Linked DNA regions of Rattus norvegicus. The protein of the gene in region 2 interacts with the protein of the main gene of each other region in a pairwise test. Links are inferred from orthologs where the notes say so. Each region holds a gene or a part of one and is shown on either strand. Other genes may lie near its edges. The genes, in order: Zbtb43, Ap1m1 and Mtf1.

Region 1 (3,748 bases), on a different chromosome or scaffold from region 2:
AGGGCATCAGATTCCATTACAGATGGTTGTGAGCCACCATGTGGTTGCTGGGATTTGAACTCAGGACCTCTGGAAGAGCAGTCAGTGCTTTTTTTTTTTTTTTTTTTTTTTGGTTCTTTTTTTTCGGAGCTGGGGACCGAACCCAGGGCCTTGCGCTTCCTAGGCAAGCGCTCTACCACTGAGCTAAATCCCCAGCCCCAGTCAGTGCTCTTAACCACTGAGCCATCTCTCCAGCCCCCCACACCTGCTATTTTTATATAGTTCTGGGGACTGAATTCAAGTCCTCAAGTTTGCAATTCTTTGCAAAAGATTTACCAACTGAGCCATTTCCTTAAGCCCCACATTTTTCCCCCTAGCAAGATGTTCTGCACCTGTTCCCAGTTCTGTGTTTCAGTATTTGTTTTCTTCTGTTTTGTTTCCCCGAACTTTTTTTATTTTAATTTTTTTTAAATGTGTATGCGTGTTTTGCCTGCAAACGGTTTTGGGTATTGTTTGTCTGCCTGGTGTCAGTGGAGGCCGGAAGAGGGAGACAAATACCCTGGAACTGGAGTTAAGGAGGCTGTGTACCACCATTTGGGTGCTTGAAATTGAGCCCAGGTCCTCTGGAAGAGAAATGAGTGATTTTAACCGCTGAGCCATTTCTCCAGCCGTCCCAGAATTTCTTTGAATAATTCTCTTGGAGAGTCACAGCCTTCTCTCTGAATACGTCTGAGTTCCAGAGCCCTACTGGCGCGCACACCTAGGAAACTGTCTAACCTAAAGCAAATGTATGTTTGGTCCAGTCGGGGTATCCACCCTACACCAACAATGGGGACACATCCTTGCAATCCTGATACTCAGTAGGTACATGCACGAGTGGATGTCAGTCCAACTCGAGCTACATAGTGAGTTCAAAGCCATCTTGGAATTTTATTACTTTTTCTTTGGGGGACTGGGGAGGAGTGAGCGTTCGTTTACCATAGTTCGCTTTTGAGGTTAGCATATAACTTGTAAGAGTTAGTCTTCCACCACGGGCTCCAGAGATAGTACCCAGGCCTGGCGACGAGCACCTTTATACGCTGAACTATCGATTAGGTTCAAAGAGCTACGAACTACGAACTAGCTTCGAAACCATTGCGCAGGCGCCAGCCCCTAGCGTGCTCTCCTGAAGACCCGCCCAGAAAGGACTCCTGGAGCATACGCACACCACAGCGTCGCTGACACGCCTCCGGAAGCACTGGCAGTTTCGGGGGCGGGATCAGAAAGCGTATCCGAGGGGCGAGAGGCTCGGGCGGAAGTTGTCCCCGCGGTGGCGGCGGAGAATAAGGCCTTCGTACGGCAACAGGGACGCTCCGGTAGGCTGGAGCTGGGAGCGCGGAGCCGTCTGAAGGTACGGCGGTGTGGGGAGGCTGGGCGCTCGCGCGCGAGGTCGCGGTCGGGGTCACGAGTGTCCGCGACACGGGACACTGCGTTCCCTCCGACGGCGGTGATGCGGGACGGCGCGAGTGATTCCGAAGCCCCGGCTCCCCGGTTTGGAGTCCTGCGGCCTCCCGGGCGACCTCCTGGCCAAGGTCACCCGGCGGCAGGTGCACCGCAGGCTCGAGAGCTTGGAGAATCCGCCCCCGGGGCGACCTCGGGGTCGAGCCACCTACGCGCGAACCGACGCCGTGAAGGAGAACCTCGCTGCTCTGAGTTTCGCCTCTTTGTCAGACCGTTGTCACCTGTTTTTGTCCTCACCTGGCCTCTTGTCAGCTGGAGTTTACACTTTGCATCTCTGGTGCTGACAGTCTTTGGACTTTGTCTTTACCTCTGTCTCCTCTTTTCCTCAGTGTGTTTTGACCCTGCTACTGTCCCCTCGGGCCGCCCTTTGGTTCAGGGCCCGAATGTCACACCGACTTCTTGGCCATTTGTCTGGGTTTTTTTCTCTCCCTCCCAACTGGGTTTGTTTAGGCAGGGCGGGCCTTGCCTGGACCTCTGAGACATGGAAGGTGACTCATGACCCTGTGAAACTCCCCTGCCCAGGCAACATTACCAGTAGTCTGACTACAGTCTGGCCTCAGTTCTGACAAGTGTCACCAAACCTAGCAAAGTGTCACGAGCTACTGTCCTAAGTGAAGTCCCATCTCAGGATCTAGGCAGTTCAGTGTATCTTGAACTTCTCTTCCCAGAGGTTTGCACTGGTCTCCACAACTCTTTGCTCTTTCCAGGAACCCCAGGCTGCCTTCAGGACTGTTTGGAAGTGCCCTGCTTAACCAGGCCAGCATCTACATACAGGCTTAGGGAGGGCCAGACTTCCACCTGCCTTTGAGACCCTTAACTTAGCACAGTAGCAGAGTCTCTAGGAGCAGCTTAGTGAAGAACTTAAAAAACGTAATAGAAATTGATTCCTTGCTTGTTTCCAAAGTACTGTCTGAGAGGAAGACACAGGGATGAACACCGAAACTTTTGGAATGGAGCGTCTGGGACAGACAGGACACGAAACATAATATATCAAGTGCCAGGCCGCCATTCAGTAGATACAGTTTTAAGAGATGGTCAGGACATTCTAGAAATGGTTTGTGCACATCAGTGTGAACGATGTAGTGTCAACACAAGTAACCGTGGTTTGGAACACTTAATTGAATCCCTTTTCGTGATGCAAGTCAAGCCCCTCACAGCAGCAGGCTCAGCCGAGGCTTAGGAGATTGGGGCCCTGAGTGACTTTAATCTTGTGGCAGCACTTTTCCACCTCCCTCCCTCCTGGCCCCTTTAGAGTCACTGCAGAGATCTACTGAGGGGGAATTTGAGAAACACAGTACCTTTGACAGGCAAAGAACTTGTAAAGCTGGAAAAAAATACTCCTTTATTGGCGTAGAAGGTGGTCTGTTCTTTTTTCATAGGCTAGGCCTTTTGGGGTTTGTTTGTTTGTTTGTTTTTTCTGATTTACCTACCTTTAAGGTCTTTTTTTTTTTTTTTGGTTGGCTGGCTGGCTGGTTGGTTGGTTGGTTGGTTTGGTTTTAGTCTTTGCTTTTTTCGAAACAGAGTTTCTCTGTGTAGCCTCGGCTGTCCTGAAACTCACTCTGTAGACCAGGCTGGTCTTGAACTCAGAGATCCGCCTCCCAGGTGGTGAGAATAAAGACCCGTGCCACCATGCCTGGCCTTGTTTTGTTTTGGTTTTTTTGAGACAAGATCTCTATAGGGACAGGCTGGCCTCAAACTCTGAGATACTCCTGCCTCAACCTCCTGAGTGCTGGGGATTAAAGACTTTTGCCAACGGGTTTGGCTTCAAACTTTCTAATATGCCTAACAGTTGACTTACTGTCGTATTTCATTGACTCTTAGATGCCACCAAGTGTTTTCTGTTTCACCAAGAAAAGAAACCCTGCCTGGAGCAGAATTCATTCCCAGCACTTGTGCTTCTTCGTCCTAATTAAAACACTTTGGCTTAGAGTTTTAAAGAATGAAATCAGTGCACACTCTATGGGTCTTAGAAGAGGAGAAACATAAATAAAGAGCCATCAGCTAGCACCTCAGGAGATCCCGGCTTTGGGAGTCCTTTGAGTACTGTCTGCTTCAGAACTGTATCTATAGTTCTTCCAAGTGGAGTCATCCCTCGTGTCATCAGAAACTGTTTGCCAGGAGTGCTTTAGTCATTACCCAGTAGCCACAGCTGTTAAAACTGCCACATACATCCTGTCTGGTGGAGCCCAGGTAGCTCCCTGAACTGAGGAGATGAGTGCACCTGCTGGCCGCGCTGCTTAGCCAACCCTCAGAGTGGGTCTCTAAACCC
Region 2 (3,131 bases):
GTGGGGTGCAGTGTGACCTTGTGACCACTGGTGAGTAAGGCAGGGCTGGGAGGCTTCTAGGGTGCTGGCAGGCCCTGTGCTGGGAAGGTTGTACTTGGAAGTGAGGTCTGCACAACATAGCCCACATAGGAGTGTGGTGACAAGGAGTGACAGGAGAGCAGAGTCACAGAGTGAGATGGTCCTGAGGGTCAGAGCTCAGACACCCAATGTAGAAACTCAGGACTTGAAGCCCACAGGAGCTCAGTCACCAGTATGGGGGCCCAGCCTATACCTGCGCAGGTGGGAACATGGGGGTCTACAGCTTCAGACCACCAGAGGACGGCCACTATGCAGAGACATGACAGGCAAGCTAGAGACCGAGAGGACACTCTATCCAGTGTCTCTTGGATAGGCACTCCTGCTACCACGGGAAGGGAAGTGTGGTTCCTTCACTGCTAGGCTTGCTCTGCTGCAAAGGAAGTCGACCCTTCCAACAGGGTCCCTGTGTGGGGCCTGACCACAGCAGAGAGAAGAGGCTGCACATGTAACAAATAGACTTTAATGTCACTGTCACACATGGGTGGAGGACGACGAGGTCTTGTACAGTGAGACTGGCCTGTGCTGCCCAGGGACTTTGGGGCAGAGGCTGAGGCCATGTGCCCTTCCGGGGAAAACACTGATGTGGTCAAGGGCGGGCAAGGGGGCACAGCTGGCCCAGGAGAGCGACTGTCCTGCCAGGGAAGGACCAGTGTGGATAGGAGGCAGCTGCACAGGACAGGACAGAAAGGTGACAGGACAGCCACAGACGACAGTGACCAACATGCTCAGCAAAATGGCAACAAAAGGAGGCTCCAGTGGTGAGCAGGGATGGCGCCCACAGGGTGGTGGGTGGCCAGTCATGAGGCACCAGGAGCTCAGCTCCAGCTGGCTTGTCCCTGGGGGAGGCTGGCAGACCCTTCCTTCCCACCCTGGATCAGAATGGGACCAGGGAAGGGGTTCTGTGTGAGTCTACTCAGGCTTGAGGGGAGGGTGGCTGCACGTCCAGGGCCACCCTCCAGCTTCAGTTTTGGTGAGTGTGGCAGGTGTGCCCTGAGGCTGGGTGGGCTGGGCTGGTTACCAAGGCCTCTCACTGGGTCCGGAGCTGGTAATCTAGAAACATGGGGGATTCACTCTCAGCTCCACAGATACCCAGGGCACCCACCCTCAGCTCCACAGATACCCAGGGCACCCACCCTCAGCTCCATGTAGGAAGCCACGGCCTAGAAAGACTTCTGTAGGTCCTGCTAGCCAGGCAGCCACTCACCTCCATTCTGCGTGATATAGCGTACCCAGGGCAGGGCCTGGTACCCGCTCTTCTCAATGATTTTCAGGTAGCGCACCTGGACACAAGAGCCTTGAGTAGGTTGCACCCCTACCAGCACCCCTCATCCAAGGGGCAAGGCCAAGGGGGCAGACCTGGCATAGCATGAGGGGTTGTCAGCAGCAGCCAAGACCCAGGCTTGGTGACCTTGGGCCTTTCAGGGGAACAGTGTGTTTCCCTCATCCACACACTTGAGGGACCCCAAGGAAATAGGCCCTATGTCGGGATGGGGCTTCTGCTGTGACACTGGGCTCAAGTGTGAGGTTCAGGCAGCCAACCCCAACACACTCATACCTGGATGCCAGAGGTAGTGAAATAGGGGATCTCGAACTTGACGCTGATGGGAGGCTTGCCCTCCTTGTCTTCCGCTTCCACACTGGGAAGGCCGAAGTGGGCCCGCATCAGGTACTCCTTGCCACCCTGGGGGCCAATGTAGGAGGCAGTTAGGCAGCAGCCCACAGCCATGTGCTGTCTCCCAAGCTAGCCATGGCTCCCAGGAGCCAACTTGGGGCAGGGTGTGACCTGGCTTCACCAGCTCCTAGGGAGAGACGGGTGGCTGAGGAGCCAGACCGTTCAGACAGGACTTGTAGTGAAGGGAGCCCGGGGCACACTGGGGAGAGGGATGTGTCTGTCCCACTGCACAGCCCCAAGGGGACTGTGAATAGGGAGAGGAAGACACTGAGGTGTGGGTAGGTGCAGGTTCCCAGGAGCCCAGCGATAACTTGGAGGTGGTTGGAGAGCGGGGCCAGTCAGGACTAGCTGAGACCCCTGCCCTGCTCTGGCCATGTAGAGTGCATCAGGCCTGGGCTTGGCTGTTCCCTCTGACTGGCACTCTAGCTCTAGCTATACCTGGGACAACACATGGCCTTTGGTTTCCTGAGCTCACACTTCAGGGTGCAGCAGGGCAGGGCTCCATAGCCTAGGTCCCTGCATCGGCTCCCAGCCACAGAGGACACCATGCCATCTGCATGGATCCAGAGCGCATAGCCCTCTGACTCCTGGGACCTAACAACAGAGTAAGGGGGACGGAGAGAGAAGACCTGCCCTCGGGAACACAGGGAAGCAGGGCCTTCAGGGCACAGAGGCAGGAGGGGGGAGCACATTCAAGGCCAGCCTGAAGTACAAGAGTTTGAGGTCACGCTGGACTGCAGAATGAGTTGCAGACCTCTGAGACCATTCAGGGAGACCATTTCAAACTAACAAAGTCCCTACAAAACAAAAACACAAAACAACTTCTATGTGAGAGCAGGAGTTGTAGAAAATGGCACTACATGTTACACTGTGGTCTCGTAGGTACAGACCTAGGCGGAGCTGGAAGGAATGTTTCTCTGCATCGACACTGATGGAAAAATCAGTGAGGGAACTGAACTTGAAGGAGGGCGGGCGACTGGGCTGGGGCGCAGTCACAAATCAAAGACCAAGGGAACATGAGGATGGATGGAGGCAGAGGCAGGAGGATCTCCGTCAGTTTGAGGCTAGCCTGGACTATCTACACAGTGTGCTCAGGTCAGCCAGTGCTAAGATCCAACCTCAAAGACAAAAACAAAAACATGACAGACAAGAACCCCGAACCCTCAAGCACCTCTGGCGGGAATGTAGCACCGGTCACTGCTACACAAACAATTTAAGCTACTGTGGCAGACCATTCTGAGACTCTGTGGGTGTAAGCCTGGGGACAGGAAGCAGGGCATGGAGGAGAGCCCTGTGCTCACACACTCACTGCAGCTGATCTTGGGCGCACCAAGAGCGCCTCTCAGTGGAAAGGGAAGGGGCATGGTGTGGAGTATTATTT
Region 3 (3,717 bases), on a different chromosome or scaffold from region 2:
CTTCCCCCATTCCCCTCTCTCAAAAGATGGTAGTTCCTGACATCTAGTCCTTTGTGGCTTAAAAACAGAGCAGCTGAACTGGGACCAAAGGGACATGTGACATTCTGGTGCGTGAGAGTCACTTAGTCAAACTTACTCAGAAGGAATGGTACAACAGTTTGGGCCTGAATCCTGATCTTGCCTATAAAGACATTGCTCCAACTTAACGTTCTAGAGAAGTCGTTCATGGGGTAAATAAGAAGTATAACGAATATAGTAGAAGCACTAGGAAAATCTCTTCTTGGGCTTTCAAATACTGCTACCAGCTAGTGGTTTCGAGGGTGGTTGGATGAGTATTAGGAGCTGACAGGAGACTGGCCAGTAGGTGGCGCTGACCTCCCCCAGAGCAAAAATCCCTCCTTAAGGTTGGAACCGCTAGCTCCGGCGGGCGCGTGAGAACGAGACACGACTGGAGCGCTCTGCTCAGCGTTCCGTCCCAGGGTCCTCAGCCAGGTGAACTATGTGCGTGGGTACAGTGGGGTGAGAAAAGGGACACCGCGGGCTGGTCTACGCATCTGGAAGGCGGCGGCTAACTGCACCCTTCCTGCTGCAGCTGTGCACGCAGCTGGGGCTGAGAACACCTCAATTCCATGGCTGACATCGCGTATTCTCCCGCGCCCGAGACCACCGCTCCCTACGGTCAGCTTCCCAGTGCAGCACGAGAGCGCCTGACCCTGCTCGCTCCGCCCACAGCCTGCTGGTTAGAGGAGCGGTCTCAGCCCCTGGATAGCAAAAGCCAATCACAAGCGGCAGCGGGCGCAGGGATCGGCCGGCCTCTCCTTCCTCCGGAAAGCGGAAGCGGAAGTGACGCTAGGGACAGGTGGGGGCAATCATGGTGCCGCTGGGGAGGGGAGAAGCTGCCGCTGCCGCTGTTGCCGGGAGCCGCGGAGGTAAAAGCAGAAGCTGGACTCGGCTGGGGCTGGGACTAACCGGGGGGCGTGGGACTTGAGCTCTCTGCCGAAGCCATTCCCGGTTGAGACTTCATTCCAGTCACCCGAGGGACCCCACCCCTCCTCCGTTTCCATGGGGATGGGTATCCAGCCCCCCTTCTCTGTTTCCATGGAGACCCGGACCCTGCCCCTCTTCTCCCAGCTCGTAGCCCCCCGACTGCCTCGGGGTTTTTCTATGTAGCCCTGGACTGGGGGTGCTTTCCCGGTCAGGGTCTTCCTGCCAGTCTCTCAGGGGTGCTCGGTTCGCAGTCCTCGGCCACCCTCACACCTCCTGGTCTTGTTACGGAAAGTTGGTCTTTGCGTTACCGCCGAAGGTGCCGGGGCAGCCCACCGGGGGACTCTTATCTCTCCTCTCAGATACAGAGAAACGTGTATTTCTGGGGTTGCGTAAGCAAAGGTTAGGGCTGGTTCCTCTCAGATTAGATCCCTTAATCTGTGTCTGGTAACTACCTCACCTTCTTGTCACTCCGGCTCACTTGCTGACTCCGAGCAGAAGAGAAAGTGCAGAACCAGGTTGAGAACCAAGTGATGTGTTGGTTATTTTAAATTCTCCTTTTGTGTCTGCCAAACCCACATTTGTAGAACCTGTGTGTTTTCGGGTGAAGGAAGAATCACCATTCCAGACCATGAAAGCTTCAAATTTGGTAATTTCCTCAAGAGACTATCTTCAAAAAAGAGACTATCTTTCATTCATGTCTTTCATTCATTTTGCTGACATTTCCTGACCGACTCGTGTCAGTATGCTTTATGTTAGGGACAGCCTTTCGGGGCAGAAAGCCTAGTCACTCTGTACACGAATACTCTCTGGTCCATATCATGTTTTACGATATAAATAATTAAAGTGATTTGCATTAGCTATTCCTTATTAAGGTTTAGTCCCCTGCAGCCCATGTGTTCTAGAAGGAAGCCACCCTCTTTCTACTGCCTGACGGGATTGTACTTTACCTGCAGTTTCTCTTTCTGTATGAAACAGGAACCATAGGTCCCACTGTCGAATGACAGGCACAGATGGGTTGCCCAAGCAGTAAAGGGCAAAAGAAGGGTTTGTAGGTGATTATGTTCAAAGCGTTGTTTCTGCACCATCAACGACGTGAGGCTGTGTACTGCCTCTCAGTGCAATTGAGGGAGGAGGGCGTTTGGACGGGAGTGCCTCACTTAAGGTTTACAGCAACTTTTCTTTAAGCAGCCACCTGTTTGCTCTTTTATCCTCATGAGCTGCATAGTACCTGCCAGTAAAGCTTAACGCCATCTTTAAAGTATGTGACAGTAAGTCACATTTAGAAGATCCTGTGAACACCAACTTTGAATTTGGGGCGGGGGAGGGGGATTTGCTTTTTCCTTAACAGTGACTGATTGTGTCAGATTTTAAGTATTTCCAAGGAAGATGAGGAGGAGAGAGAGAGACAGAGAGAGAGAGAGACAGAGAGAGAGAGAGAGAGAGAGAGAGAGAGAGAGAGAGAGAGAGATTGAGAGATTCTCACTGTGTATCTCTGGTTCACCTGGAACTCATAGAGATCCAGCTTACTTTACCTCTCAGGTGCTAGGGTTAAAGTCATTCATCACCATTCCTAGGCCTGGATTGCTCTCTGTCTTTTTGTTTTGAGACAGAGTCTTACCACTAACCCTGGTTGGCCTGGAACTCACAGAGGCCTGCCTGCCTATGCCTCCCAAGGTCTGGGATCAGTTAGCACTTTGGTTTGCTCGTTAAACTGAGGGAAAGTGAACCATAAGGATGACTTTAGGATGTAGGTGAGTCAGGGGCTGGGGATTTAGCTCAGTGGTAGAGCGCTTACCTAGGAAGTGCAAGGCCCTGGGTTCGGTCCCCAGCTCCAAAAAAAAAGAACCAAAAAAAAAAAAAAAAAAGGATGTAGGTGAGTCTTGTGCTATGGTTCTAACTCTGGTGTTATCTGTTGCAGAAAGGCCATTACCTTTTCATTTCTCACAATTGGGCTGAGCACAAGTGAACCATGGGGGAACACAGTCCAGACGACAACATCATCTTCTTTAAGGGAGAGGAAGATGACCTAACCCCGCATGACAAGATGCTCAGGTTTGTGGATGACAACGGACTGGTGCCTTCCTCATCTGGAACTGTTTATGATAGGACCACTGTTCTCATAGAACAGGACCCTGGCACTTTGGAGGATGATGAAGACGATGTACAGTGTGGAGAACACTTGCCTTTTCTGGTGGAAGGTGAAGAGGGCTTCCTAATAGATCAGGAAGCAATGTCCCAGGGTTACGTACAACACATTATCTCACCAGATCAGATTCATTTGACTATAAACCCTGGTTCCACGCCCATGCCAAGAAACATTGAAGGTGCGACTCTTACTCTGCAGTCGGAATGTCCTGAAACGAAACGGAAAGAAGTAAGTAAAGCCGCAAATGAGGGCCCGGTGTGGCTTTGGGGCAGCTCCTTCTGCAGCGCGCTGGCAGTTTTAACTGGGGGTTAAAGGAGCTCCTGGGCTAAGAGCCTTCTGTAGTCATGCCGCTCAACAGCACATCCGCTTCCTGTTTTGTTGTGACTGCTTTCTAGAGCTTTTGATTGTATGGCCACATTGTAATTGAGGAATACTGCATTGTAATATCTCAGATGTTCCTCTCCAAATCATAAATAAAGTAGAAATTTCACCAAAGTGAATTCATGTTTATACTGTGAAAGTAACAGCATGGCTTCTCTGATAGTCAAGTGACTAGATTTGTGTGTAATAATAGAACTGGCTAT

Evidence for each region.
Region 1: the proteins of Ap1m1 (region 2) and Zbtb43 interact in binary tests that used the Homo sapiens proteins (3 or more experiments, as listed by UniProt). The two-hybrid records come from large-scale screens. The link is inferred for Rattus norvegicus from reciprocal best matches to the Homo sapiens genes AP1M1 and ZBTB43.
Region 3: the proteins of Ap1m1 (region 2) and Mtf1 interact in binary tests that used the Homo sapiens proteins (3 or more experiments, as listed by UniProt). The two-hybrid records come from large-scale screens. The link is inferred for Rattus norvegicus from reciprocal best matches to the Homo sapiens genes AP1M1 and MTF1.

What each region holds. Positions count from the first base shown.
Region 1 is NC_086021.1:37,159,007-37,162,754, reverse strand, and holds the start of Zbtb43 (zinc finger and BTB domain-containing protein 43), read left to right. Parts: upstream 1-1,269; 5' UTR 1,270-1,369; intron 1,370-3,748. UniProt on the Homo sapiens protein: May be involved in transcriptional regulation.
Region 2 is NC_086034.1:17,620,394-17,623,524, forward strand, and holds the end of Ap1m1 (AP-1 complex subunit mu-1), read right to left. Parts: intron 1,760-3,131; coding exon 1,634-1,759; intron 1,359-1,633; coding exon 1,283-1,358; intron 1,129-1,282; coding exon 1,106-1,128; 3' UTR 517-1,105; downstream 1-516. UniProt on the Homo sapiens protein: Subunit of clathrin-associated adaptor protein complex 1 that plays a role in protein sorting in the trans-Golgi network (TGN) and endosomes.
Region 3 is NC_086023.1:142,346,210-142,349,926, forward strand, and holds the start of Mtf1 (metal regulatory transcription factor 1), read left to right. Parts: upstream 1-844; 5' UTR 845-929; intron 930-978; exon of another isoform or gene 979-1,633; intron 1,634-2,905; 5' UTR 2,906-2,956; coding exon 2,957-3,361; intron 3,362-3,717. UniProt on the Homo sapiens protein: Zinc-dependent transcriptional regulator of cellular adaption to conditions of exposure to heavy metals. Binds to metal responsive elements (MRE) in promoters and activates the transcription of metallothionein genes like metallothionein-2/MT2A.